Sus scrofa: one gene and its partners. The protein of the gene in region 1 purifies or fractionates together with the protein of each later gene. This does not show direct contact. Links are inferred from orthologs where the notes say so. Each region holds a gene or a part of one and is shown in the gene's direction. Other genes may lie near its edges.

Region 1 (4,099 bases):
ATTAACAAATTGTAGATTTGGCAGAATACATAAAGAATTCATACAGCTCAATGGTAAAAAAAAGACATAACCCAGTTTTAAAATGGTTAAAGAATCTGAATAGACTTTTTTTATGGAGGATATGTAGTTGGCAAATAAATATTTTAAAAGACATCTAGCCATCTAGACTGGCTAGAATCACAAGGTTGTTATACTTTTGATCTCATGTTAAGGTGCTATACACCTGAAACTAACACATTATTGTAAATCAACTATATATACTTCAATTAAAAAAAAGTTTCAATAGCAGGTATTGGTGAGGATATGGTTGGCAAACCTTGGTACACTTCTGTTGGGAATGTAAAATGGTGAAGCCATTTTGGAAAAGGTTTGGCAGTTCTTGAAATGATTAAACAATGTATATAAATTATATACCCAAGAGAAATGAAAACATTTCTGCATAAAAACTTGTCCACATGTATTTATGGAAGCACTATTTATAATAGCCAAAAAGTGGAAAGCATCCAAATGTCCATCATTTGATGAGTTGGTAAGTATAATAGAGTATGTATGTATGATGGGATAGTATTCAGCCAAAAAAGGGAATAAAGTACTAATATATGCTGCAACATAGTTGAGCTTTGAAAATATTATGCTAAGTGGAAGAAAGCCAGGCTCAAAAGATCACACATAATTCTATTCATATAAAATATCAAGAATAGGAGTGATCACTTTTGAGGTGGTGAAAATGTTAAAAAAATTAACTGTGGTGATGGTTGCACATAATTGTGAACATACTAATGGTACACTTTAATAAAGCTGTTGAAGTAATCATTTGACATTCCAGTGTGGGGGATCTGGGCACGTATATCTGTATGTTTAAAAAGCTGAAGTATTGGAGTTCCTGTCGTGGCTCAGCGGTAAACGAACCTGACCAGTATCCATGAGGATGCGGGTTCGGTCCCTGGCCTCGCTCAGTGGGTTAAGGATCCGGCATTGCGGTGAGCTGTGGTGTAGGTTGCAGACATGGCTCAGATCTGGAATTGTGGATGTGGTATAGGCCAGTGGCTACAGCTCCAGTTCGACCTCTAGCCTGGGAACCTATGGATCTGGTGTAGGTCACAGACATGGCTCAGATCCTGTGTTGCTTTGGCTGTGGTGTAGGCCAACAGCTGTATCTTTGATTCGACCCCTAGCCTGGGAACCTCCTTGTGCTGTGGGACAGAAAAAAAAAAAGAAAAAAGGCGAGCTATTAAAGTAACAGAGCTCTTTATGTTAAGCTAAGTTCTTCTGTTCCCTCCCTTTCTCTTATTTTTGTAGAAATCATGACTACCCCAGGAAAAGAGAACTTTCGCCTGAAAAGTTATAAAAATAAGTCCCTGAATCCTGATGAGATGCGCAGGAGAAGGGAGGAAGAAGGACTACAGTTACGTAAGCAGAAAAGAGAAGAGCAGGTAAGTCCTTTAACCTCATTAATTTCTCAGAACTAACATAATGTTCCATTTTAATCCTGACAGCAAACCTTTGTTTTAATTTTAATGATGTTTAATACATATGTGTGTGTATATATACATATATTACCTCCCCCCACTATAAAACCAAAAATCCTTTATTTTAGGTGTAGGAGAGTGTAGGTAATGAAAGGTAGGATATAAGAATGGAGAAATCTCTCAGGTTATTATGTTCCTAGTATAACCTCTGTTTAGTATTTTGGCCTGTTAAATTTTTCTAAAGTTACAACTTCTGTAAGGATTGTATATGTATATTAATGAATTCTCAAGTGGCCAATAAATTATTGCTTTTTATTCTGAATTTTAATTTGAAAGTTTATAAACATATACAAAAATATAGAGTAGATAATGAACCTCATAAACCCATCCTTTGGGTTGGGTTAAACCCATTATGAGGTTTAATTGTCAACAGTTTGCTGTATTTGATTCATGTGTCTATCTTTACTTTTTTTATTATGACGTATTTTAAACAAAATTTCAAGGACTAAGTCTTTTCACTCCTCAATTCTGTATAAAGACATTCAGGGCAAGGATTTTTGATCATTTTAAACCTGAGAACATCTACAAGTGATCCTAAGACTCACTCTCACTTGACCTTACTCTAAAAATACTCATAGAACAGGTGATCCATCACTTTTGGCAAAGAAATTTAAAAGATAGAATACTTAGGTGACTTTTTTTTCCTAAGACTTGAGCTTGGAAGGACCACTTGACCCCCATACTATAAAAGCTCTGTAAAAGGCATACCTGAGAAATAAGGTAATCTGATAAAAAATATTTTTTAGTGAGGTATTCTCGATATATACACTGTTGTTTTGAGTAGTTCACTAGATAATCCAGTTATGTGAAGTCCAAGAGTACATTACAACCTCAGTGTTTTGTTTAGGCTACAAATGTTTGAATCACTATGTCATTCTTACTGTTTGAGGGTAGGGACTGAGTTTGTAATATTGTAATACAGCTTGTATTAACTTCAGCAAATTAAGTTAGGAGTTTTTAACATTCTGCTTTATGATCTTTGAAAGCAACCACTTGCTCATAAAAGGATTAGTTTCTTTTGGTTTCTTGTTGCCTCTTTATTCCTCTATGTGTCTTATTTGAAGTGGAACCTTTTCTTTGGATGAGCGTTTATTTAGCTTCTGTTTTGGGGGTAAGTTTCAGAAATTACAACAGTACTGTTACATATTTATATTTGCATGTAAATATGAATACATGTATACACACCCAAGCACAAGTCTGAATATAACCAGTAGCCTATGACTTATATTTGGCATGAAGCCATTTGAAGATGTAGTAATGGCACTCTGCCATTAATAGTGTACATTTTATACTGTTTCTTTTTGGTGATGGGGATTTTGTGTTATTAGACTTCATTATAATATAAACAAAGTAAAATTTTCATATTCAGTTCCCTGAAGGCATGGTTTGTTTTTTTTTTTTTTTTTTTTTTTGTCTTTTTTTTTTTAGGGCTGCACCCACGGCATGTGGAAATTCCCAGGCTAGGGATCTAGTTGGAGCTGCAGCTGTTGGCCTGCACCACTGCCACAGCAATGCCAGATCTGAGCCATGTGTGCAAGCTAGACATGGCAAGTCCAGATCCTTAACCCACTGAGCGAGGCCAGGGATCAAACCCTCATCCTCATGGAAACTAGTCAGGTTTGTTACTGATGAGCCACAACTGGCACTTCTAAGGCAGATGCTTTATCAGGTGACAGGTATAGCCCCACTTATCTGACTAATAAAACACTGATAGTTGAAGTTCTGTCATCTTCATTGTATGTGATCTGAAACTGTGCTAGTGCTTTAAGATAGTTCTATGATAAGTTTCTGGAATATTGTTCTATTTAAAATCTTCCAAAAAAAAAAAAGGAGTTCCCGTTGTGGCACAACAGAAAGGAATCCGACTAGGAGCCACGAGGTTGTGGACTAGATCCCCGGCCTCGCTCAGTGGGTTAGGGATCCAGCGTTGCCATGAGCTGTGGTGTAGGTCACAGGTGGGGCTCGGATCTGGCATGGCTGTGGTGTAGGCTGGCAGCTGTAGCTCCAATTCGACCCCTAGCCTGGGAACCTCCATATGCTTCGGGTGTGGCCCTAAAAAGCAAAAAAAATAAAAACAAACCCAAAAACAAAAAACTTAATTTTGGGAGTTCCCGTCATGGCTCAGAGGAAATGAATCTGACTAGCATCCATGAGGATCCAGGTTCGATCCCTGGACTTGCTCATTGGGTTAAGGATCTGGCATTGCCTTGAGCTGTGGTGTAGGTCGCAGATGTGGCTCAGATCTGGAGTTCCTGTGAATGTGGTATGGGCCAGGGGCTACAGCTCCAATTCGACCTCTAGCCTGGGAACCTCCATGTGTCGCAGATGTGGCCCTAAAAAGACAAAAAATAAAAATAAATAAATAAAATCTTAATTTTGTTGTTTCATACATGCCATCTTATGTAGGGAGAACTCATAAAAACAAATCACGCTTCTTAATATCACATCAGTACTTGTTTCATGCCTAATTTGTAAAATAGTAAACATCAGTAAAATACAGATTCATTTAGGTACTGTTTATCTTCCCATAGTTGCTCTGTCATCTATCGGGAAAAATTACAGGCTTGGGC
Region 2 (4,136 bases), on another chromosome or scaffold:
GTTCCTTTTTCTCCATACCCTCGCCAGCATTACTATTTGTAGATTTTTGGATAATGGCCATTCTGACCAGTGTGAGCTGATACCTGATTGTAGTTTTGATTTGCACTTCTCTCATTTCTCCTCTAAAGGCAACCCAAGCTGGCTCAGGGCACTAATGGGCTGTCTACTTCTAATGGTCCAGAGAGAGTCAACACTTCCCTACTCCTAATCGAAGCCACACCGCCCCACATTGATTTTCGAAAGTTCCCTTCTTTTTCTCTGAATCCTTACTCCCTCCAGTTCATTAAGTCTTTGTATGGTGAGAGGGCTTAAAAAAATTTTTTAGTCCAATATATAGTACTCTTCTTAACTTTGTGGTCCATGGTCTATGCCTTGAATCTTCATGTGCAAATTCAAACTTTTAAGGAAAAACAAAAACAAACAAAAAAACCAAAACATGTATCTTTTTGTCAAGTACCTGGCTTTTGCAAACGAGAAATAACTCCAGCTTTCTGACCATATTGCTTTTATTATAACTTTAACAATGGATTTTGAAATCCAGGCTCTATTTGCTCTCCCTGCAAGGCAATGAAGCCCCTGGGTGGAAGGCTACAAGACGAAAAGAAAAAAGTGAGAAAATTCTTGGTTTAAAATGTGCAAATATCATCCAGGTATGTAAGCACAGATTCTTTTACTTGCTCTTTCCCCCATGCCAAAGAATACATGAAAGGAAAACACCATGAAATTTCTCTAGTCTTTTAAATTGCCAGATTCCCACATATTTTCACCCCTCTAAAGCTTTAGGGAAATAGGAAAGAAGAGCAAAACTAGAAGCAAAATCCCAAGCTTCAACAGTTCTCTGTGCCTATGCCTTTTATGTCATTTCATTTGGCATGGCAGGAAAAGTGGGCACTATTGATTTCATTTACTAGCTGAATTTTGCTTATTCCAGTATGCATATAAATTACATGGCTTTTTCTTTCTTTTTGCTTGTTTGATTATTGTTTTTTGTTTGTTTGGTTGGTTTTTGTTTTTGTCTTTTTAGGGCGGCACCCAGGGCATATGTAAATTCCCAAGCTAGAGGTCTAATCAGAGCTACGGCTGCCAGCCACAGCCACGCCAGATCTGAGCCGTGTCTGCGACCTACACCAGTTCATGACAACTCCGAAAACTTAACCCACTCAGGGAGACCAGGGAGGGAACCCGCAACCTCATGGTTCCCAGTCGGATTCGTTAACCACTGAGCCATGACGGTAACTCCTATTCTAATTATTTTAAATTCAAAATCAACAAATATTTAGTGAAAGCAAATTTTATTATTTCGTAATTTATCATTATGTTATCACTTATCTTTTTATTAAATTTTATTAACCATAAAATACCCAAATGCCTAATATTATTGGAAATAATATTGGAAACAACAGGCAAGCCGGCAGTAATGATTTAAGTGTGGACACTCAAATATTTAAAAAATGCAAAAAAAAAAAAAAAAGAAAAAAGAAAGCTTTAAGAGGGGAAGATTTGAGGCGAAGAGACAAACGCACTTTCCCAAGTCGCCTCCTGACCATCGACCAGCGGGGCTACTGTTTGTTAATCTAAGGAGACACGACAGAGACTGCAGGTCCTTGGCGCAGCGTTTAAGTTACTGACTAAAACCCACCAGAGGGGAAGACGTACTGCCCGTGCTGAACTGCGTAAACCAAACCCAAGTCTGTAGGGCCAGGACTAGTTTTCAAAGACTGGGCTCCACAAGGCAACCCCGAACAGGATTAAATATTACCTTATTACCTTTATTATTAGTACAATTTAAGTTAATATGCGCCCGCACATTCCTGAATGCCCCGCGACCCGGACTGCCTCGGAAGGCCTCGCTTGTCTACACTTGTCTACAGAGCTGGAAGCCGTTTTCTGCATAATGGAAATTTGGAGCGAGTTTTGTTTACTCTGGCCCGCTCAAAATCGGCGTCTTACTGCCGAGACGCCCAGACCTCGCGTCCGGGCGGCGGCTAAAGTCCGGGAGGACGCGCCCCGCACGCGATAACTCGGCCCTCCCGGCGCGGGAGGGAGGCGGCCAGAGGGCGCGGCGTCACAAAGCCGACCGGAAACGAGGAGTCTTGGAGTCCAGACCGAGGGGGTCCCGGGCGACTCCACTGGCCGCGCGCCCTAGCGGGGCGGGAGGCGCACGCCCACCTCCCCTCGCCCCGCCTCCACTCCCCTCCCCTCCCCTGCGGCCGGGGCTGCAGCGCCGCGGCTGCTCGCGCGCCGCAAAGCGTCCTGGGAGAGCCGGATCACGCCGGAAGGACGCTTGGGCGCTCGGCGGCGGCGAGGTTATAAAAGGGAAGGAGCCGGCGGCGGGCGGAAGTGGGCGGTTCAGCTGCTCTCGGCTCTGTTGTTTGGTGTTTGGGCCTTCCGAGGGGCGTTCTCTGGATAGCCGCCGGTGCAGGCCTCAGTGACAGGGCCGCTCGCCCGCGCTCCCCGCCACCTTCTCGGTGCAGCATCCGCTCCTGGCCTCCGCGACCCTCAGGCCCAACATGGCGCAGGAGGTGTCGGAGTACCTGAGCCAGAACCCGCGGGTAGCCGCCTGGGTGGAGGCGCTGCGTTGCGACGGCGAGACCGACAAACACTGGCGCCACCGCCGGGAGTTCCTGCTCCGCAACGCCGGGGACCTGGCCCCCGCCGGCGGCGCTGCCTCCGCTCGTCCGGAGGAGGCCGCCGATGCGGAGAGCGGGACCCGAAATCGGCAGCTGCAGCAGCTTATCTCCTTTTCCATGGCTTGGGCCAACCACGTCTTCCTCGGGTGCCGGTGAGTGAGCAGGCTTCCCTGAGCAGCTCTCTTGGATTTGGCTTCTGCCCCGGCCTGGGGCCCGGAGCCCTAGGCGTGGAGGGGAAGCGGTGAAGCGCGGGAAGCTGCGGTGCCGTCTGCCCTCTAAGGGCGAGAAGGGCATCCCTCCCAGAAGCCGACATGATGAACCGTCTGGAGGTGCCCCCGTTGACTGGGGAGCTGCTGGTGGAGTTGCTGGCCTTGAGCTGACAAAGCTTTGAGGGGAGAGGGACGCTAAATTTAAACTAGGTTGGTAAGGATTGACCCCGCCTCCCAGACCCTGGCGCGTTTGTTTATGGGGTTCCAGGAAACAAAGTTCCTGGTGGTTGGGGCAGTTTCTTGATTACAACCAGGAAATGGCAGTTCCTGTGGCCTGTTTTTGTACCCCAGAGGTGGCAGCTTAGCAGAAACACTTTTTAAAGTGTCTCTCTCTCTCTCTCTTTTTTTTTTAACAGGTACCCTCAAAAAGTTATGGATAAAATTCTTAGTATGGCTGAAGGCATCAAAGTGACAGATGCTCCAATCCATACCACAAGAGACGAACTGGTTGCCAAGGTGAAGAAAAGAGGGATATCGAGTAGCAATGGTTAGCAGATCATAGATGTGAACATACATAGGAGTTTAGAACTTAAGTTTGATGTAATTAGGAATTACTGTTACTACTAATTTTTTAACGTTAGAATAACATTACATAATAAATAGAATAACAATTACATAATGCTATTAATCAAGTTGGAATGTTAAATTGTATGTGTGTTTTAGGCTCTGAATTTGATAGTTTCCTTTGTGTGAGATTGTAAAGTGTCGAGTGTTGTCTGTGCTGTTGATTTTTTAATATTAGAAATTGTTGATGTTATTCCCCACTGTTAAAAGAAATTAATGAATTTATTGTACACTTTTTAAACAATCTGCTAGTCCTGAAATATTTTCTCCTTGCACCTTTATTTTACTTGTGTGTGTGTGTGTGTTTTTAGGGCCGCACCCGTGACACATGGAGGTTCCCAGGCTAGGGGTTGAATGGGAACTACAACTGCCGACCACAGCCACAGCAACGCAGAATCTGACCTTTATCTGCGACCTACACCACAGCTCACAGCAACACTGGATCCTTAACCCACTGAGCAAGGCCAGGGATTGAACCTGAGTCTTCATGGATACTAGTCGGGTTGTTAACCACTGAGCCCTGATGGGAACTCCTTGTGCCTTTATTCTAATATGAGTACTTGTCTTGTAAATTTTTACCTGGTATGTGTGAGGTAAGGCTTAGTCACGTATCTTTTTCTTTTCAGAAGGGGTAGAAGAGCCAATGAAAAAACGAGCCATAGAAGGAAAAAGC
Region 3 (3,500 bases), on another chromosome or scaffold:
TGCAGCCCTTCGCAGTAAAACTCAGGAATTATTGATAAATTTGAGGGGTGAGAGGGTAGAGTTGGGGGCTTATTTGGAGGGTGCTGTTGGTGAATGAGGACACCTCCATGGAGACTGTGACAGGGACTTGGGCAAAGTGCAGGGTATTTTATAGTTCTTGTTTCCTAAGCATTTCAGAATCTTTTCTCTTTCATTATCTCTGTCTTTCTTTTTCTCTGCCTCTCTTTTTTCTGTGATGGGGAAAATATGGTCTAAGAAAAGTATGACCAGCTCAGAGTTAATATAGTGAGTAATGAGTTACCTAGATCCTGGCTCTTGTTCTCATTGTTTCTCTAATGTTATCATCAGGCAGAAAGTGAGGAAGAGCAGCCTGGGAGCTGAGACATGGCCAGTCAGGGAAAGCCCAGATGGGCAAGAAGCCAAGATTAAATGTGTTTTCAGGGTCGGAGGGCAAAGACAAATGGGCTAGGCCTTGGGGATGTGATGTTTGGTGCAGGAGTGCCTACTGGGGTAGAGACCGAGGAACTGAAGTTTGAAGCTGATTGATACCCTCTGAAAGGTGAAAGCCCTGCTGGGGAAATGCAGCTTGGTTATGTGGAAACATTGAGATGCTTATGGGAGGAGATCACAGATGGGGTAGGTTGGTTGGGAGGACTCTGTGGATAGAATTGTGGTAGAAGTGAAATTTTTTAGGGCTCCTAGGGTGGGATGGTCATGAGCTGGAATTTGTACCAGTTCCTGCCAAGTGACCTCAACAAATACTGCATTCACTTGCTGCTTTTACTTTTTGAAAGCAGAGTGGTTCTGAACTAACAGGGAGATAGTTCCTTTAGATGCTAGCATTTTTTGGAAGTTAAGTTTTCCTTTGAGATAGAAAACTCTAATTTTCATTGACTTAGGCTTAAATGTAACAGGAAATATCACCATTAAAGAAATGTGCAAGTAAAACAAACAAAACAAACAAAAAAAACCCCAAAACAACAAAAAAAAGAAATGTGCAAGTAGGTAGCCCAGGGCTGGTTTGGTGGCGCCATGATCATCAGACTCTCGGTTTCTTTTCAATTAAACTTCTGCCACCTTGGTCCTCATTATTGGCATCCAAGGTATGGTCCTTATTCTTGGCATCCAAGGTAATTGCTAGAGTACCAACCAGCATGAAAGAGATAATGCAAATCATATTCCTTTTGAAGCAGACTTCTCAAATTACCGCAAGGTACTTCTTACTTCTTATTGGCCAGAAAAGGTCACAAGGTCACATCTAGACTGGATAGGCATGAACCTAGTAAAATTTGGAAGATGAATGGATATTGGGTGGGCAGTTAGCAATCAGTCATAAACCCCCTTGAGGGGGGTGATGGGTAACTGGGTACTGTCCAGAGACCCTCTGTCTCTGTAGATATCATTCTCACCCTATTTGGGGACCTGAGGCTTCTGAATCATTGCCTGCCACAGATATCAAGGACTTTTTCCTGGAACCTGGTGCTTTCTGGCAAAGTCAGGCTTATATTAGGTTTAAATTCAGTAAACCTTTTTGGGACCTGCCACTTGAAAAGCCATGAGCTAGTGCTGTAGGGGATATGAAAAAGTAAGATGTTTCTCCTATTCTGGCCCAGAGGATTATAGCCTAGGAGGAGAATAGCAAAAAGGCTGTAGTGGCTATTTTTGTTTTTATTTATTTTTAATTTTTTAATATATATATTTTTATTAGTCAAATGAATTTATCACATCTGTAATTGTATAATGATCATAACAATCTACTTTCACAGGATTTCCATCCCATAACCCAAGCACATCCCCCCACCCCCCAAACTGTCTCCTCCGGAGACCATAAGTTTTTCAATGTCTATGAGTCAGCCTCTGTTCTGCAAAGAAGTTCAATCTCTCCTTTTTTCAGAGTCCACATGTCAATGAAAGCATTTGATGTTGGTGTCTCACTGTATGGCTGACTTCACTTAGCATGATAATTTCTAGGTTCATCCGTGTTGCTAAAAATGCCGGTATTTCATTCCTTTTAATGGCTGAGTAATATTCCATTGTGTATATGTACCACATCTTCTTGATCCACTCCTCTGTCGATGGACATTTAGGTTGTTTCCATGTCTTGGCTATTGCAAATAGTGCTGCAGTGAACATTGGAGTACACGTGTCTTTGCGAGTCGTGGTTTTCTCTAGATAGATGCCCAGAAGTGGGATTGCTGGATCAAATGGTAGTTCTATGTTTAGTTTTCTGAGGAATCTCCATACTCTTTTCCACAGTGGCTGCACCAATTTACAATCCCACCAGTAGTGGCTATTTTTAAAGACTGTCCACCTGTACTGACCAGTTTAACCCAGGACTTGTCCTGGACCCTGAAAAGTTTGAAGGTTGGCAAGGGATTCATTCTTGTTCTTTAACCTTAGGGCTGAAAGAATCAGGATCCCTGAGCCCTGGATCACACCTCCAGATCTGCAAGAGAAGATCCACATTTTTGCCCAGAAATGTCTGTTCTTGACTGAGAGTCTGAAGCAGTTCACAGGTAATATGAGAAGAGAAGTCCATGAAGGGAAATGGGTTTATGCTCTCAGGGTTTGCCCGAGAGGATGTATTTTCCAGCCAAACAGTGGGATGCAAACTGAATATCTTCTTTTCTCCCCTTAGAAAAAATGCAATCAGATATGGAGAAAATCCAAGGTAAATTTATCTACTTAACTGGGCTTTTGATGTTGACGCTTCCTGGGAAGACAACATCTGCACGAAGTGTGGCAAAGTGGGAAGGGGGGACATCCACTGGCCAGCCATTTTACGTCTCTTTTCGCTTTGTTAATTTTTTCAATAATAGCCTCTGGTTTCAATTTGAAATTATTTAGCTATCTGCACTCATTTCTCCATTTATATTAATGGAGGAGGAAGATAGGCCAACAATAATTAATCCAGAATTTGATTATTTAAAATTACTTTTAATTGAGAAAGAGAATCAACAGAAACCATCCTAGCTACATTTCATTTGAGCTGGTATTTATAGTGCTGATTGAGGCAATACCTCCAGGGAAGCGGTTGGGAGAACAGGGATTCAGGAATTGGGCTGCCTGGGTCCTGGGCTCAGCTCTGCCACTTGAGGATTCTATACTCTTAATTTCCTCCTCTGTAAAATGAGGAAGATAATAGCTCTTTCCTCACAAGGTTTTAAGGATTAAGTTAAATTAGATACCATTTCTAAAGCCTTTTAGAATGGAGCCTAACCTGTAATAAACCCTACACTTAATGTTTATTAAATAAAGTGTTCTTGGTATTTAAGGGATGATCTTCCAAACAAAGTTTTCTGCTCATGATCACATATGAGCATATAGCACATATGCCTATATACTAAATGCTAAAATTCCTAGGCAGTTTGGTAGAATGTTAAATCTTTATATGTAGGTGAACTTTTTTTTTTACTTACTACAAATCCCCATAATCTCTGGTAATTTGCTATGTAGGCTAAGACTTTATTTGCATTGTATCTTTTCAGATACATGCTCTT
Region 4 (3,500 bases), on another chromosome or scaffold:
TAAATCTGCTAGGGCCAGAGCATTCGTGGGCATTGCGAGTTTGCAGGAGGCCTCATGCAGAACACCTCTCAGGATCATACCAGTCTTCAAAACCAGGTTCTGTGGGTGGCCCCCAAGCTGTCACGAGGAGGCCTGAGCCAAAGGGAACTCCCTCTCAGCAGCTTCCAGAGGCCCAGCCTAGGCTTATAGGATGAGAGTAGTTTTTCCTGTTCTGCCATGCATTCTGAAATCTTAGAAGAGCTTGGTTCAATTTTGAAAAGTTTTTTTTTTTCTTTCTTTCTTTTTAGGGCTGCACTTGTGGCATATGGAGGTTACCAGACTGGGGGCTTGAATGGGAACTGTAGCTGCCGGCCTATGCCACACCACAGCAGCATGGAATCTAAGCCAGTGGGCAGCCCACACCACAGCTCATGGCAATACCAGATCCTTAACCCACTGAGCGAGGTCAGGGCTCAAACCCAAACCCTCATGGATACTAGTCGGGGTTCATTCCTGCTGAGCCACAATGGGAACTCCTCGAAAAGTTTTGAGACCCACCTAGAGCTCATCTTTGAGGTGCTGGCCATAGGGCAGCATAAAGTCATTGGGCTTTAGTGTCTCTTTGGAGGCATACCCCGTTCAGCCGTGGCTGCTTTGAACGCGGGCCTCAGGAATTGGTTTTGAAGCTTTATATGTCTCTGGGCTACATGCCAAGAGTTCCTCAGGCTGCAATGGGTTGCCCCGTAGGAAGTTCTCCCATTGTCACCCTGAACCCAACACTTAGGCCAGCAGGCTTGAGGTCCTTGGGCTGGGTGGAGTCAGAGCAGTGCTCCTGGTCACTGCAGGGTCAAGGATGGATGTTTACAGCCCCCAGTGGCTCTCACTCAGCTCATACTGGGGATTGGGAGGGTGGCGCTGTTGGAATCACATGGTGGAATCAGAGTTGGAGGGTTAATGTGTTTTGATGCCCCACAGCCCTTTGTGCACAAGGTGGCCTCCCACAAGAGCGGGCTCATATCTATAACAGAAACTTCTCTTCCTCTCTCTTTTGTCCATTCAACCCTCGTTGTCCCCACCAAGACAGACTGCTGCCTCTTCCCAGCCTGAGGACTCCTGAATCTGTATTTCTAATCAGTTCCTGATAAGGGTCCAGAGCTAACTGCTGCCAGTCCTTTTTCTCTTGTTAGAAAGACAAAGGCACATAGAGTTGCCCCTGACTGTGCCCCAGTGAGGAGGGCATATGCCAAGCCAAGGAGTGGAGACGTTTCATTTTTCCCCAAGGTGGTCAAGGAGTAGTTCAGAGAGGGTCATTTAAGATAGGCTCAGAGTTCCCATCATGGCTCAGTGGTAACAAACCCGACTAGTATCCATGAGGATGTGGGATCAGTCCCTGGCCTTGCTCAGTGGGTTAAGGATCTGGCGTTGCCATGAGCTGTGGTGTAGGTAGCAGACACGATTCAGATCTGGCATTGCCGTGGCTATAGTGTAGGCCAGCAGCTACAGCTCCAGTTTGACCCCTAGCCTGGCAACTTCCATGTGCCTCAGGTGTGACCCTAAAAAAAAAAAAAAAAGACAAAAAATTATCCAAGATAGGCTCTGAGGTAGGTGTAGGAATTTGCCGGGCATTAGGAGGAGGTCACAGGTGTGACCCAAGCTGTCCCTACCATCAGCCACAGGCACCCCCCCCACCTCAATTCTTTTGCTGCTCTTCATTGACAGGAGAGTAACAACATGGTGGTGCCCGCCATGCAACTGGCCAGCAAGATCCCAGACATGTCAGTGCAGCTGTGGTCATCAGCCTTGCTAAGAGGTGAGTAAGAAATCAGGGCTTCTGGGCTTAGAAGATGCTGGTTAAGCCCTTCTCAGCCTCTGCTTTAGACTAGGCCTCTGCAGACCATAATCCCAGTTCTGGCACATTCTCAGTCTTCTCAGAAGACCCTGTTTGAGGGCAGTGGGCTCATTCATGTAGTGAGATCAACACAGAGTCCGATTCTGTCTCTGGGACTCCTGATGCTTGGCCTCAGTTTCTTTCCCATGAATGGGAATGGCAGTCAGCCTTTTCAGGCAGGACCAGCCAGGGTGCTGTGGGCACCGGAAGGGCACTCAGCAGGTGTCAGTGGTGTTACTTCTACTCTCCCATTTACAGATTTTGAAACTGATGTCCATAGACTCACCCAGGGCCCTGGGGAGGAGGTAGAGCACATACTGCTCCCAACTGCGATGGACTTTGTACATCTGTTCAGTCTTTCTGCCTCAGTGAGATGCCCTGTTCCCAGTGAGCTCCTGGGTGCCCTGACTGGGCCAGCATCCACAGAGAGCCCCAAGGGCTCTCACTTCCCTACCAGCCCTTCTCTCAGCCCCTGTGGGCCTTGCTGCTCATTCACCTTCAAGGATATGGAACGTGTGTGAGGGCTTCTGGCAAGTGGGCTTTGCTGACCCTGAAATAGGGCTCAGGGCAAGTGATGTGCTAGGCACACAGGAACCCACTGGTGGAGCTGGGGTGTGACTTTAGGGCTCCACCCACACCCGAGGGGAGGGTCTGGGGGCAGTGGCAGGCCAAAGCAGGCCCATCCTGTGCACGTATGCCACCTTCAGACCTGAACAAGGCCTGCGGGAATGCCATGGATGCCCATGAAGCCGCCCAGATGCACCAGAACTTCTCACAGCAGCTGCTCCAGGACCACATTGAAGCCTGCAGCCTCCCCGAACACAACCTCATCACGGTACGAGCACAGAGTGGGGAGGACAAAACAAGGGTGCTGGTTTGCTCCTCGGGGCCAGCTCACCTGGCCTATAGTGTTCCCCAGTGCCCTGGCAGGGAGAGCATGCTTCCTGAGGAGGGAAGTGCACACTTGGCTGCCCTCTCCTTGTACCTCTCCAACAGTCCCTAACTCAGCCTAGCCTCAGGAGCCTCCTTGGATGGGCAGGATGGCACCTGTCACCCAAGCGGGTGATGTAGGCTGCTTCCTGGAGGCCCATCTGATTCGGGGTGGAAGATGGAGGGCCCTGGCTGGTGACTAACCTGAAGAGGGCAGCATTCCAGGCGCAGGAGTGCAGCCCAGCACACTCCTGCTCCTCTCTAGGAAGGACCTCACTTGTGTGTCCTTTCCCCCTGCAGTGGACAGACGGCCCGCCTCCTTTGCAGTTCCAAGCTCAGAATGGACCCAATACCAGCCTGGCCAGCCTCTTGTGAGGCCCCTGGAAGGGGCCACTCAGCTTCTCGGGGCTCCATGGGGCCTGGTGTGTTCCCGACTTGCACCGAGACGGCACTTGAGCTTTCCTTGGAGGTGTGCTGGTGTGGCCGTCCCCAGGCTTCTTTCCCAACTGTCTCCAGAGCTTCCAAGTCCCTGGGGAGTGTGGAGGGCTGATTCTCATCCTCCCAGGAAAGGCCGGCTGGCCATTCTTGCCGAGTACCAGGAGCCTGTGTGCTGAGGCTTGCATGTGGGATGTTGGAGCCGACTTTCCAGAGCCATCCTTCAAAATGGACTTGAACTGCCAGTCCTACTTCCACGTCTGAGTCA
Region 5 (3,500 bases), on another chromosome or scaffold:
AAGCGCATGCCCACGGGAGCCTCCTATTCCCGGGGCTCTGCCATGAGGCCTTTGTCCCTTTTGTCATTGAACTCTGGGGGCACGTTGGTACCCGGGCCCAGCAGCCTGCCCTGTCCTGGGGCCCAGGGGCGCACCCCTGCCCCGAGAGGGCACCTCCTGCAGCCGGTGGCCCCGCACGCTTGTCTCTGGATGCTCCGTTCCCTCGTTGAGGCCTTGAGGTGCCCTCCCGAGGGCGAGTCCTGCACGCCTCCGGCCAACCGCCCTGTTCTGTGTCATGGCGGAGGAGCAGAAGCTAGGTTCTCCCTCGAGTGGATGTCGTCCTGTTAGGCCATCACCATCAGCCACTCTTCTCACCAAGGTCTCCCTGGAGATGTGGCACCTGTCACGGAGGGGACAGGGAGCTTGAGGCCGGCCCCACGGCCGCATGGGCTCGGGTGCCGTGCGTTAGCATCAAGCTGGGCCGGTAGTCACCCTGCACACCGACTGGCACACGAAGCACTCAGCGGCCGCTAGTGCTGTCACCCCCTTCTGATGAGGTCGCCAGTGCCAGGCCTCTCCGCCGGCTGGGCCTCCCGTTTAGGCCAGGGAACTCGTCGTGATAGAGAATTTGAGAGGGAACAGGGTTGGCCGTTCTGAGGCTTAGCCTCTCAGAGGTGGAGCTGACGCCGGGCCTTGGGAGCAACTCGAGGGCTTGCCGCCCGCACACCCTCAGTTGGGCACCTGCACAGCTAGGCGGGCGGCACATGGAAGTGGTTCTCCTCTTGTTTCAGCTCTCCCTCGGTTTGCTGGTGGCTGACTTTGGTGCCATGGTGAACAACCCACACCTGAGCGACATCCAGTTTCAGACGGACAGCGGCGAGGTGCTTTATGCCCACAAGTTCGTGCTTTATGCCCGATGCCCACTTCTCATGCAGCACGTGAGTGCGTGGCCCGACTGCCCCTCCCTCCCCTCCTCCCCTCTCCCCGCTCCCGCTCTCCCTCTCTCCCCCTGCCCCTTCTCTGCCTGGCCTCTCCCGTCCTACCGCCCCCTCAGCTCCCCTGATCTCAGCCTCCCCCGCCCCCCACTGCTTCTTTCTCTGCTGCCATCCAGGCCATGCCTCCATGGAGACGACATGCAGCTCTATGCGCAGATGGACCTCAGAATTGGGAGACATCAGATTTCTTGTTCCGCTGAATAAAACTGTTTCCCCCCAGAGTTGTTTCCTTACAACATTTGCATGATTGTAAAGTTTTTAAATCAGCCTCTCTAAGGCTGAGCTGCTGCAACATTTCTGTGCCATCTTTCATTTGACTTAAACATCACGTTGCAGGAATCCAGAAAACTGCTGTCAGTCTCATCAGAAAGGTCTCATGCCTTTGATGCATCTGTCAAGAGGGGACTCACTGGGTTCTGGAGCATCTGTCACTGATTTGATTTTGGAGACAGGTTTTGAGGCCTAACCTGCAGAATCTGCATCCTGCAAAATGGAGCAGCACAGGCGAACGCCCGTCCTGGCTCCCAGGTCATGGCTGTCCAGTCAGGACAACTTCTGCGTGTGTTTCTCCCTCAGGTAAACAGTGAAGGCTTCTTCGCCTCAGAAGATGGTGACGTGAGGGCCCAGCGTGTCCTGCTGAGTGACGTCAGCACTGAGGCCGCCTGCGTGTTCCTGCATTACCTCTACACCGCGGACGCCACCCTGCCCCCGTGGCTGGCCCCTGACCTGAGCTCTCTGGCCCACAGGTCTGGACTGTTCTTTCCGTTTATGGCTCTGACATTAACTGACAGGGATCCTCTGGTCGATGGCCCGTGGGAGGGTCAAGGCTGGCTCCTTCCTGTCCCTTCTGACGCCAAGTGTGGGCTTGGTGGTGACCTTGAACAGGGTGTACTCACTGGAAGTCTGGCCAGAGCAGGAGAGGCGAGTCCTGGCTTCAGCTTCCTGGGTGTGATGAGCGGGCGGTCCCAGCCTCAGCCCCCAAACGCTCTTGCTCCTGGGTGGTTTTGCCACCAGAGCTGAATAGCTGCCCCTTCCCAAGCCGCAGAAAGCGGAAGTGAGGAAATGCTTGGTCTAAGTCCCATGAATTTGCACCTGCCAGTTTGTCCACACCAGTATCTCAGGATGGGTGGCAGGTGGCTCAGCAGAGAAAAGGTGTTTCGACTCCTCTCGGGGCTTAAGGGCCTCTGGGGTGAAGCCGTGTTCATCCCTCAGGCACCTCCTTGGGCAGGAGGGGCTCAGCCTCTGGGGCCTCAGACGTACAATCAGACCCCAGATCCGTCGATCGGGTGGCAGGCTGGCCGCCCCGTCTGCTCAGTCACAGTGCTTTGGGGGTCCCGTCCCGCCGCATCTCTCCTGCCTGTGATCCTCCCCCAGCCACGCGGGGCCTGTGCAGCAGTTAGTCACCCTCCTTAAAGGCTCACAAGTCTGTTCCTAGAACTGAGTGGCCTGGGGCGTTGCTGGGCCTGAACACAGGCACCGTCTCTGTGGGGGAGCGGGCACCAGGCTGGGTGAGTCACGGTTGCCCTCCCCATGAGGACTCCGGCACCACCTCTGCGCAGGCGGGGTGACGTGTGCGTTTCCTGTTGCAGGTTTGGTGTGAGTGAGCTTGTCCACCTGTGCGAACAGGTGCCTGTGGGGCCGGACTCTGGGGGCGAACAGAGGAAGGAGCAGGAGGAAGGGGATTGTGAGAGCAGAGGGGAGACTTTCCGGGAACTCCTGCGGTCCATGTGGCGGGGCGAGGAGGGAGCAGAGGCTCTGTCGAAATCTGAGGGCTGCGAAGAAGACGACACAGAAGAGGTGAATGAGGAGGAGATGGAAGAAATCTATGAATTCGCAGCTACTCAGCGAACGCGGCTCCAAGCGGGGAAAGCTCCAGAGGTGGAGGAAGAAGCTGAGCAGCTGCAGGAGGAAGCCCCTGCTTCTGCGGGAATCCTTGGGAGCACTGAGGATAAAGAAGAGTCAGAAAGCGCAGAACAAATGGCTTCATCTGGGCAAGGAAGAGATGAGGCCCCAGCCCCACGGAAGAACGTGAGAGAGGCCACACGCCTGCCTCTCAGGGACCCGGCTGTGGGCAGGGAGGAGAGCGCGGAGGCCCCAGAGGAAGGCCTGGGCCATTCCCACTGCCCCGGCCCTGCCCAGGGCCAGGCAGACAGGGGGGACAGCACCCCTCTGTGCTCAGTCGATGCTGCTGCTGCTGCTGCTGCTGCTGCTGCTGAGCAGCCGTCTTCCTCCCCTCACGCCGACGGCCCTGAGCCATCCCGGAGGACGAGCGATCGCCAGGAGGGAGACGGCTCCGTCTGGGAACTGGGGGTGGACAGTTCCCATCCCCCTGCCCACCAGCAGGCACCCCCTTTGTGCTCACACTTCGTCCCGTCACAGCCCCCTCGGGGCAGGAGTCCCCATCGGCCACACCCTCTGCACACCAGTGCCCTGTGCCTGCCAGCACCCCAGCTCCTGGGCACACCTCCCAGGGCGCCCTCCTCGAGCTCACCACCCAAGACAAGCGGGGTCAGAAGCCTCCCCCCG
Region 6 (3,500 bases), on another chromosome or scaffold:
CACTGGTACTTCATTTTGCTGTTTTGGTTTTAGATGCCAGTAGGGTGGTAGTAGTGATTTGCACCTACTATTCTAGTCCTTATCTGTATGTTTTACGCAGTTACAATCTTAAGCCTGACTTAACGTGGAATATTTTGTATTTACAAAATTGGGGATGATTTAGAATTGAGGGGATGATGCTGAAGATCTGTGTGTGAGAAATAACTGATATCAAGTCAGATTACCTTTTTTTTCCTTGCTTCCTTGTTTCAGTTAAATTGCAGCCTTGATATGTTTCCCTGGATCTCACCATCAAGTGCGATTTTTTTTTTTTTTTTTTTTTTTTTTGGCAGGTGCAGAAGAAAAAATCCTAACAGAATTTCGAGAAGCTTGCCATATCATACCTCATGACTTCCACTTGCAGGCCATGGTTCGTTCAGCTGGCAAATTGGTTCTTATTGACAAGTTACTTCCCAAACTTAAAGCTGGTGGCCATAAGGTTCTGATCTTCTCCCAGATGGTACGCTGCCTAGATATCCTAGAGGATTATCTTATCCAAAGGAGGTGAGAAAAGAATCATTCCTCGCCTGTGCTGATTATATACTCATGAAAAAGCTGCCAAGAGGAGTTCCCTGGTGGCTGAATGGGTTAAGGATCCAGCATTGTTACTGCTGTGGCTCGGGTTCGATCCCTGGCCCAGGAACTTCTGCATGCTCTGGGCATGGCCAAAAAAAAAGAAAGAAAGAAAGAAAAAAGGCTGCAAAGAGTAGGAAGGCTTGGGTTTAGTTAAAGTTGATCAGGACCAAGATAAAAGCAGTGTTAAGACTGTCACTCTTAACTTTCTGGTAAGGTTTTTGGTGAACTAGAGATGTAGAGGTAATGGTATTGATCCCAGTCTGCTCTTTTGTTCTTTTTTTCTACTTAGCTGGTTAAACTTTTTTCCTGTGATTCCCATACAGGTACTTATATGAGCGTATTGATGGACGAGTTAGAGGCAACCTTCGGCAGGCTGCTATTGATCGCTTTAGTAAGCCTGACTCAGACCGATTTGTCTTTTTGCTATGCACCCGGGCCGGTGGACTTGGCATTAATCTCACAGCTGCAGATACTTGCATTATCTTTGATTCAGACTGGAATCCACAAAATGATCTGCAGGTAAAGGAAATCATTGTCTTAGGGATTAATTACTTAACCTGGGAGGTTTTGCAACAGGATCAGGATTTCTTAGAAAGACTTGTCTTTTAGGAAATATGGAATTATTTAGTCAGGTAGGTCACCAAACTTTTTCTGTAAAGGACTACATAGTATATGTTTCGGGATTTGCAGACCAGACAGTCTCTGTTGTAACTATTCCTCTATGTCCTTGAACCACAGAAGCAGCCATAGACAATATATAAATAAATGGATAGAAGTATGTTCCAGCAAAACTTTTTTTATTTTGTCTTTTAGGGTCTCACCCACGGCATATGGAGGTTCCCAGGCTAGGGGTCCAATCAGAGCTATAGCTGCTGGCCTACACCACAGCCACGGCAATGCCGGTTCTTTAACCCACTGATCAAAGCCAGGGATTGAACCGTGTCCTCAAGGATGCCTAGTTGGGTTTGTTAACTGCTGAACCACGACAGGAACTCCCTGTTCCAGCAAAGCTTAATTAAAACAGGTGACCAGGGTTTACTGACCCCTCATCTACATGATGGAGCAGTGATTTCATCTTGAAGTTGACCTTTGATTTTGAGTTGATCTCATGGATGCTTAATAGATGTAAATTGGTATTTTGAATCCTTCTTCTCCCCCTGACTAATTTTATGTTATCTTTGCCCTTCCTTCCACTTTTAAAAACCAGGCCCAAGCACGGTGTCATCGAATTGGGCAGAGCAAAGCTGTGAAGGTGTACCGTCTCATCACTCGTAATTCTTATGAGAGAGAGATGTTTGATAAGGCTAGCCTCAAGTTGGGATTGGATAAAGCTGTACTTCAGTCCATGAGTGGTCGGGATGGCAACATTACTGGAGTGAGTCTTTAATCTATAGATACATTTATTTATAGCAGATCATAGTGATAGAAGATGGCAAAAGCTATTTTTGTATAGAAACCTGACTCCTTGTTTGGGTTCTCAATTACTAATTCTTAAAATATAATAAAATATCCCGAGGTGGTTTAGATAATAGTCCCTTGAAGTCTCTTCATCTTTTTATGGGATTTTGTAGATCCAGCAGTTTTCCAAGAAGGAGATTGAAGATCTCTTACGAAAAGGAGCGTATGCAGCCATAATGGAGGAAGATGATGAGGGCTCCAAGTTTTGTGAAGAGGACATTGACCAGATCTTGCTAAGACGAACCACTACCATCACCATTGAATCTGAAGGAAAGGGTTCTACCTTTGCCAAGGTATGTTTTGTTGGGCTAGAGGCTAAAGAAGCAGAGATAGAGAGGAATCTCTGAAATTTAATATATATTTTAAATATACGCATTTCACATTACTCAAACAAGTATTATAGTCAACTTTCCTGTTTCTTTGTTCCTCACTAGGCAAGCTTTGTTGCTTCGGAAAATAGAACAGATATTTCTCTGGATGACCCCAACTTTTGGCAAAAATGGGCCAAGAAGGCTGACCTGGACATGGATCTACTTAATAGTAAGGTGAGCTTCCTTTTCCTTTAGGGAGGAAGTATGCAGAAAACACATTACTTTCAGGAGTCTTTATACCTACGCCGATTCTTCAGTGCTGACCTTGGTTTATGATGGTATATACAAGGGCCATTGTAAAAACTTTCTACATAGGAGGCCCCAGGAAACCACTTAGATAACTGCCACTTAATTTTGTTTCCAAGGTTCCTCCCGTAGATTATTTTGTATGCCCCCCCCCCCAAAAAAAAGCTACCTCTGCGTATCTACAAATGTTACATCCAAAGCTATTTCAATCTGATTGTCTAATTCCTCTCCCATGAGTGTATTGTGAAGAGAGTTACTTCTCCTTCTGTTCTCTGCATAGAATAACTTGGTGATTGACACACCTAGAGTACGAAAACAGACCCGCCACTTCAGCACTCTGAAAGATGATGACCTAGTGGAATTCTCTGATTTGGAAAGTGAAGATGATGAGCGACCACGCTCTCGCCGACATGACCGTCATCATACTTATGGGCGCACTGACTGCTTTCGGGTGGAAAAGCACCTCCTGGTGTATGGGTAAGAACCCACCTTTCCATGAGAAATAGTGCATCTCCATCCTGATAGACACCCTGTTTCCTTTTCAGATTGGAAGTTAGGGTCACAGAGGGGATAATGGGGAAAACTTTATTCTATTACCATGTTTCCCCAAGATCTTTTTCTCTCCCACCTTTTGGGAGATGTGATTCTGAGGGACTGGGGAGTATCACATAATTAGAAAGTCCTCAGGAAAATATCAATGTGATTTCTTTCTTTGTTTTTTCTAGTTGGGGACGGTGGCGAGATATTCTGTCTCATGGACGCTTCAAGCGACGTATGACTGAAAGAGATGTGGAAACAATTTGCCGGGCC
Region 7 (3,500 bases), on another chromosome or scaffold:
TATGGAATCTTATCCATACAGTACCACGAATTTTTCACCCTTTAGTAATTAAAAAAACCCAAAAGATTCACGGCAGGTTATCACATTATAAATTCTTAACATCTAGGAGTTCCCATTGTGGCTTAGCGGAAACAAACCCCACTAGCATCCATGAGGATTCAGATTCCATCCCTGGCCTCACTTGGTGGGTTGAGGATCTGAAGTTGCCATGAGCTGTGGTGTAGGCCGGCAGCTGCAGCTCTGATTCGACCCTTAGCCTGGGAACTTCCACATGCTGCACCTATAGCAAAAAAACTTAATATCTAAAAATTAGGTCAGCTGGCTTAATGGTGGGTTCTCATGACATCTGTATTTTAGTTAAATGATCCATTCTGGTAAGATTAAAACTAAGGTATCTAAAAATACTCTGAATGAGCCAGATATTTTCTTTAAGCCCTTTTAATTAGTGTCCATAGGATTTCATTGAAGAATAGATATACTATGTATGAAAATTCACTTGTACCTATTTTAAATATTCTTTAGGTGCGGCGGGATTGGTACGTGTATGCCTTTCTGTCGTCCTTACCCTGGGTTGGAAAGGAGTTGTATGAAAAGAAAGATGCCGAGATGGACCGCATCTTTGCCAACACTGAAAGCTATCTCAAGTAAGAACACAGCAGCATGATAGTGGTTTTGTGTCCCCTTAAGTTTTTTCAGAATAATTTGATTGCAAGTTTCATTTTCTGTTAATAGATACTTCTTTGGGTATTGTTAATATCTACTTAGTTATAAATAAAGCTAAAGTAAGTCTAAAGTTAAAAATGTGCTTTCTCATTACATTGTTAACTTTAAATGATTTTTTCAATGTTTTATATTTTTTTAAATTTTACTTTTTTAGGAGTTCCCGTTGTGGCTCAGTGGTTTAAGAACCCAACTAGTATCCATGAGAATGCGGGTTCAATACCTGGCCTTGTTCAGTGGGTTAAGGATCTGGCATTGCCATGAGCTATAGCGTAGGTCACAGATAGAGCTCAGATCCCACGTTGCTGTGGCGTAGGCTGGCAGCTGTAGCTTTGATTCAACCCCTAGCCTGGGAACTTCCATATGCCACAGGTGCAGCCTTTAAAAAAAAAGTTTTACTTTTTAAAAATAATATCTAGATGTTTGCAAAAGAATGAAAATAAGAGTATGAATATCCTAATGTTTGAAGAAGTCCTTCCCCCTTTTTATACAAATGATATGGTGTACACACTTGCTTTTTTTCTTCTGTACACATTTGGTACTCCCCCACACCAGTGTAGTTTGGATTTGTCGCATAAAAGTATATAGTTCTACCTCCTTCTTTTTAACAGCTGTATAGTATTACACTCCCCCCCCCCCCGCCTTTTTTCCTTTCTATGACCACACCTGCTTCTCATGGAAGTTCCCAGGGTAGGGGTCAGATCAGAGCTGCAGTTGCAGACCTAAGCCACAGCCAAATCGGATCCAAGCCACATTTGCAACCTACACCTCGCTTGTGGCAACGCTGGATCCTTAACCCACTGAGCAAGGCTGGGGATTGAACCCATATTCTCATGGATACTATGTCAGATTCTTAACCTGCTGAGCCACAACAGGAACTCCAGTATTCCCCTCTTTTAATGTACCATAATTTCTTTAACTTGTCTCCTGTTGGTAGACTTTGGGGCCTATGCAAGTCTTTCCTTATTGTAAACAGTGTTTTCAGTGAGTATCCTTGTACCTGTGTCTTTGTGCACATATGTTTGTGGGGCATGTGTGTTGTTAGAAATGGCATTGCTGGGTTGAAGTGTCTTAACTATATTAATGTTGATAGATGTAGTCAAATTGCCTTCCAAAGAGATTAGACTCTTCCACATCTCTTCTAAGAGATTATATCAATTATCCCTCTACCAGCAATGTTTTTGAGTTTTTGAAACTTTGTATTTGCCTACATTTTGGCAATATAATACATTATCAAAGATTCTGATATCTGCCAATCTGATAGGTTAAAGTGTTTCACTCCTTTAATTTGAATTTTATTAATTGTGAAAACAACTGAACATCTTTTCATGTTTTTAAAAACCTAAATGTAGATTTTCATTTTTATCTTTAGAAGACGCCAAAAGACTCATGTGCCCATGTTACAGGTATGGACTGCTGAGAAACCACATCCACAAGAAGAGGTAAATTGTTTTCAGTTTCTTATGATACAAGCACAGTTGGAGTAGATTCTAATATCTGTGACATGTTCGAGTCCTTCCACTTGTGAAACCTTGGCTACGTTTTCACATTTCATATCAAGGGTTCAGCTCCTCATAGCCATATGCAGATAGTGGATTTTTAATAAATCTAGAATGTCATTAACAGTCCCTATTCTGGGGATTCCAGATATCATAGAATTGATGTATTTTTTGTTAGAATGCCCAATTTGAAAAAATAAGTGTAACAGCCCCAGTCTTTACAAAGTAATTGAAGTAAAAACAGAAACTTAGGAGTTCCCTTCATGGTGCAGTGGAAACAAATCCGACTAGGAACCTTGAGGTTGTGAGTTCGATCCCTGGCCTTGCTCAGTGGGTTAAGGATCCATCGTTGCCGTGAGCTGTGGTGTAGGTCACAGACGCGGCTCAGATCCTGCATTTCCGTGGCTGTGGTGTAGGCTGGCAGCTACAGCTCCCATTGGACTGTTAGCCTGGGAACCTCCATATGTTGCAGGTGCGGCCCTAAAAAGCCAAAAAAAAAACCACAGAAACTTAGCACTGTTTCTTTGTACTATGTTTAACTGTAAGTTAGCTTCCTTTTGTTTCCTGTATTTTAGAAAATAGTTGATTTTTGGTTTTGTCTAGTCAAAATATGATTTCATCTAGCCTTCAAATATCTATTAATTATTAAAAATAATCTGTCTTTAGTATTTAGATTGCCTGTGGGCCCAGATTCAGAAATTGAAAAAGGATCGCTGGCAGGAGCGACACATCCTAAGACCTTATCTTGCCTTTGACAGCATTCTGTGTGAAGCACTGCAGCACAACCTGCCTCCTTTCACTCCACCTCCTCACACTGAAGACTCCGTGTACCCGATGCCAAGGGTCATCTTCAGGATGTTTGATTACACAGACGATCCTGAGGTACATACATGACCAGCAGAAGTACCTCTCAAAGGGCCTGTGTTGTTTGTACTTGTGGTTTAATCTTGTTTGAATTATGCTGGTTGGACATTTTAATTTTGAGTTGTTTATTATCTAAGAGAGTCAGTGGCAGTGAAGTTAACAGTCTAATTTTGTGAATGGTGTTACCTCATTATGTAAGAAATCATATTTATCCTGTGTAAATTAAGAGACAGCACAGCATGTAATTGAAGAGTGTAGGTTTGAGAGCCAGATTGGTTTGGGTTTTAATCCTGATTTAGTCAGATCCTAGCTGTGTCATCTTGGGTGAATTATTTGCCTCTCTAGCCTTACTTTCCTAAAGAAATAATAATAGCATAAAGTTGTAATGAGGATTAAATTATTAACACACACAAAATG

The links.
Region 2: the proteins of KPNA1 (region 1) and CDKN2AIP purify together in Homo sapiens (co-immunoprecipitation; 4 studies listed by BioGRID and IntAct, with this or other methods). This does not show direct contact. The link is inferred for Sus scrofa from reciprocal best matches to the Homo sapiens genes KPNA1 and CDKN2AIP.
Region 3: the proteins of KPNA1 (region 1) and TRIM27 purify together in Homo sapiens (co-immunoprecipitation; 3 studies listed by BioGRID and IntAct, with this or other methods). This does not show direct contact. The link is inferred for Sus scrofa from reciprocal best matches to the Homo sapiens genes KPNA1 and TRIM27.
Region 4: the proteins of KPNA1 (region 1) and MAU2 purify together in Homo sapiens (affinity purification with mass spectrometry; 3 studies listed by BioGRID and IntAct, with this or other methods). This does not show direct contact. The link is inferred for Sus scrofa from reciprocal best matches to the Homo sapiens genes KPNA1 and MAU2.
Region 5: the proteins of KPNA1 (region 1) and SLX4 purify together in Homo sapiens (co-immunoprecipitation; 3 studies listed by BioGRID and IntAct, with this or other methods). This does not show direct contact. The link is inferred for Sus scrofa from reciprocal best matches to the Homo sapiens genes KPNA1 and SLX4.
Region 6: the proteins of KPNA1 (region 1) and CHD8 purify together in Homo sapiens (affinity purification with mass spectrometry; 6 studies listed by BioGRID and IntAct, with this or other methods). This does not show direct contact. The link is inferred for Sus scrofa from reciprocal best matches to the Homo sapiens genes KPNA1 and CHD8.
Region 7: the proteins of KPNA1 (region 1) and NCBP1 purify together in Homo sapiens (co-immunoprecipitation; 3 studies listed by BioGRID and IntAct, with this or other methods). This does not show direct contact. The link is inferred for Sus scrofa from reciprocal best matches to the Homo sapiens genes KPNA1 and NCBP1.

What each region holds. Positions count from the first base shown.
Region 1 is NC_010455.5:138,043,784-138,047,882, forward strand, and holds the start of KPNA1 (importin subunit alpha-5), read left to right. Parts: upstream 1-1,299; 5' UTR 1,300-1,304; coding exon 1,305-1,433; intron 1,434-4,099. UniProt on the Homo sapiens protein: Functions in nuclear protein import as an adapter protein for nuclear receptor KPNB1. Binds specifically and directly to substrates containing either a simple or bipartite NLS motif.
Region 2 is NC_010457.5:44,884,286-44,888,421, forward strand, and holds the start of CDKN2AIP (CDKN2A-interacting protein), read left to right. Parts: upstream 1-1,336; 5' UTR 1,337-2,510; coding exon 2,511-2,782; intron 2,783-3,255; coding exon 3,256-3,386; intron 3,387-4,089; coding exon 4,090-4,136. UniProt on the Homo sapiens protein: Regulates DNA damage response in a dose-dependent manner through a number of signaling pathways involved in cell proliferation, apoptosis and senescence.
Region 3 is NW_018084804.1:149,269-152,768, forward strand, and holds part of TRIM27 (zinc finger protein RFP), read left to right. Parts: intron 1-2,400; coding exon 2,401-2,516; intron 2,517-2,638; coding exon 2,639-2,671; intron 2,672-3,500. UniProt on the Homo sapiens protein: E3 ubiquitin-protein ligase that mediates ubiquitination of various substrates and thereby plays a role in diffent processes including proliferation, innate immunity, apoptosis, immune response or autophagy.
Region 4 is NC_010444.4:58,539,749-58,543,248, reverse strand, and holds part of MAU2 (MAU2 chromatid cohesion factor homolog), read left to right. Parts: intron 1-1,698; coding exon 1,699-1,789; intron 1,790-2,574; coding exon 2,575-2,702; intron 2,703-3,097; coding exon 3,098-3,172; 3' UTR 3,173-3,500. UniProt on the Homo sapiens protein: Plays an important role in the loading of the cohesin complex on to DNA. Forms a heterodimeric complex (also known as cohesin loading complex) with NIPBL/SCC2 which mediates the loading of the cohesin complex onto chromatin.
Region 5 is NC_010445.4:38,660,404-38,663,903, forward strand, and holds part of SLX4 (structure-specific endonuclease subunit SLX4), read left to right. Parts: intron 1-770; coding exon 771-917; intron 918-1,550; coding exon 1,551-1,720; intron 1,721-2,563; coding exon 2,564-3,500. UniProt on the Homo sapiens protein: Regulatory subunit that interacts with and increases the activity of different structure-specific endonucleases.
Region 6 is NC_010449.5:77,764,476-77,767,975, forward strand, and holds part of CHD8 (chromodomain-helicase-DNA-binding protein 8), read left to right. Parts: intron 1-332; coding exon 333-543; intron 544-938; coding exon 939-1,134; intron 1,135-1,822; coding exon 1,823-1,990; intron 1,991-2,186; coding exon 2,187-2,366; intron 2,367-2,507; coding exon 2,508-2,618; intron 2,619-2,970; coding exon 2,971-3,167; intron 3,168-3,415; coding exon 3,416-3,500. UniProt on the Homo sapiens protein: ATP-dependent chromatin-remodeling factor, it slides nucleosomes along DNA; nucleosome sliding requires ATP. Acts as a transcription repressor by remodeling chromatin structure and recruiting histone H1 to target genes.
Region 7 is NC_010443.5:239,506,073-239,509,572, forward strand, and holds part of NCBP1 (nuclear cap-binding protein subunit 1), read left to right. Parts: intron 1-522; coding exon 523-644; intron 645-2,092; coding exon 2,093-2,162; intron 2,163-2,885; coding exon 2,886-3,101; intron 3,102-3,500. UniProt on the Homo sapiens protein: Component of the cap-binding complex (CBC), which binds cotranscriptionally to the 5'-cap of pre-mRNAs and is involved in various processes such as pre-mRNA splicing, translation regulation, nonsense-mediated mRNA decay, RNA-mediated gene silencing (RNAi) by microRNAs (miRNAs) and mRNA export.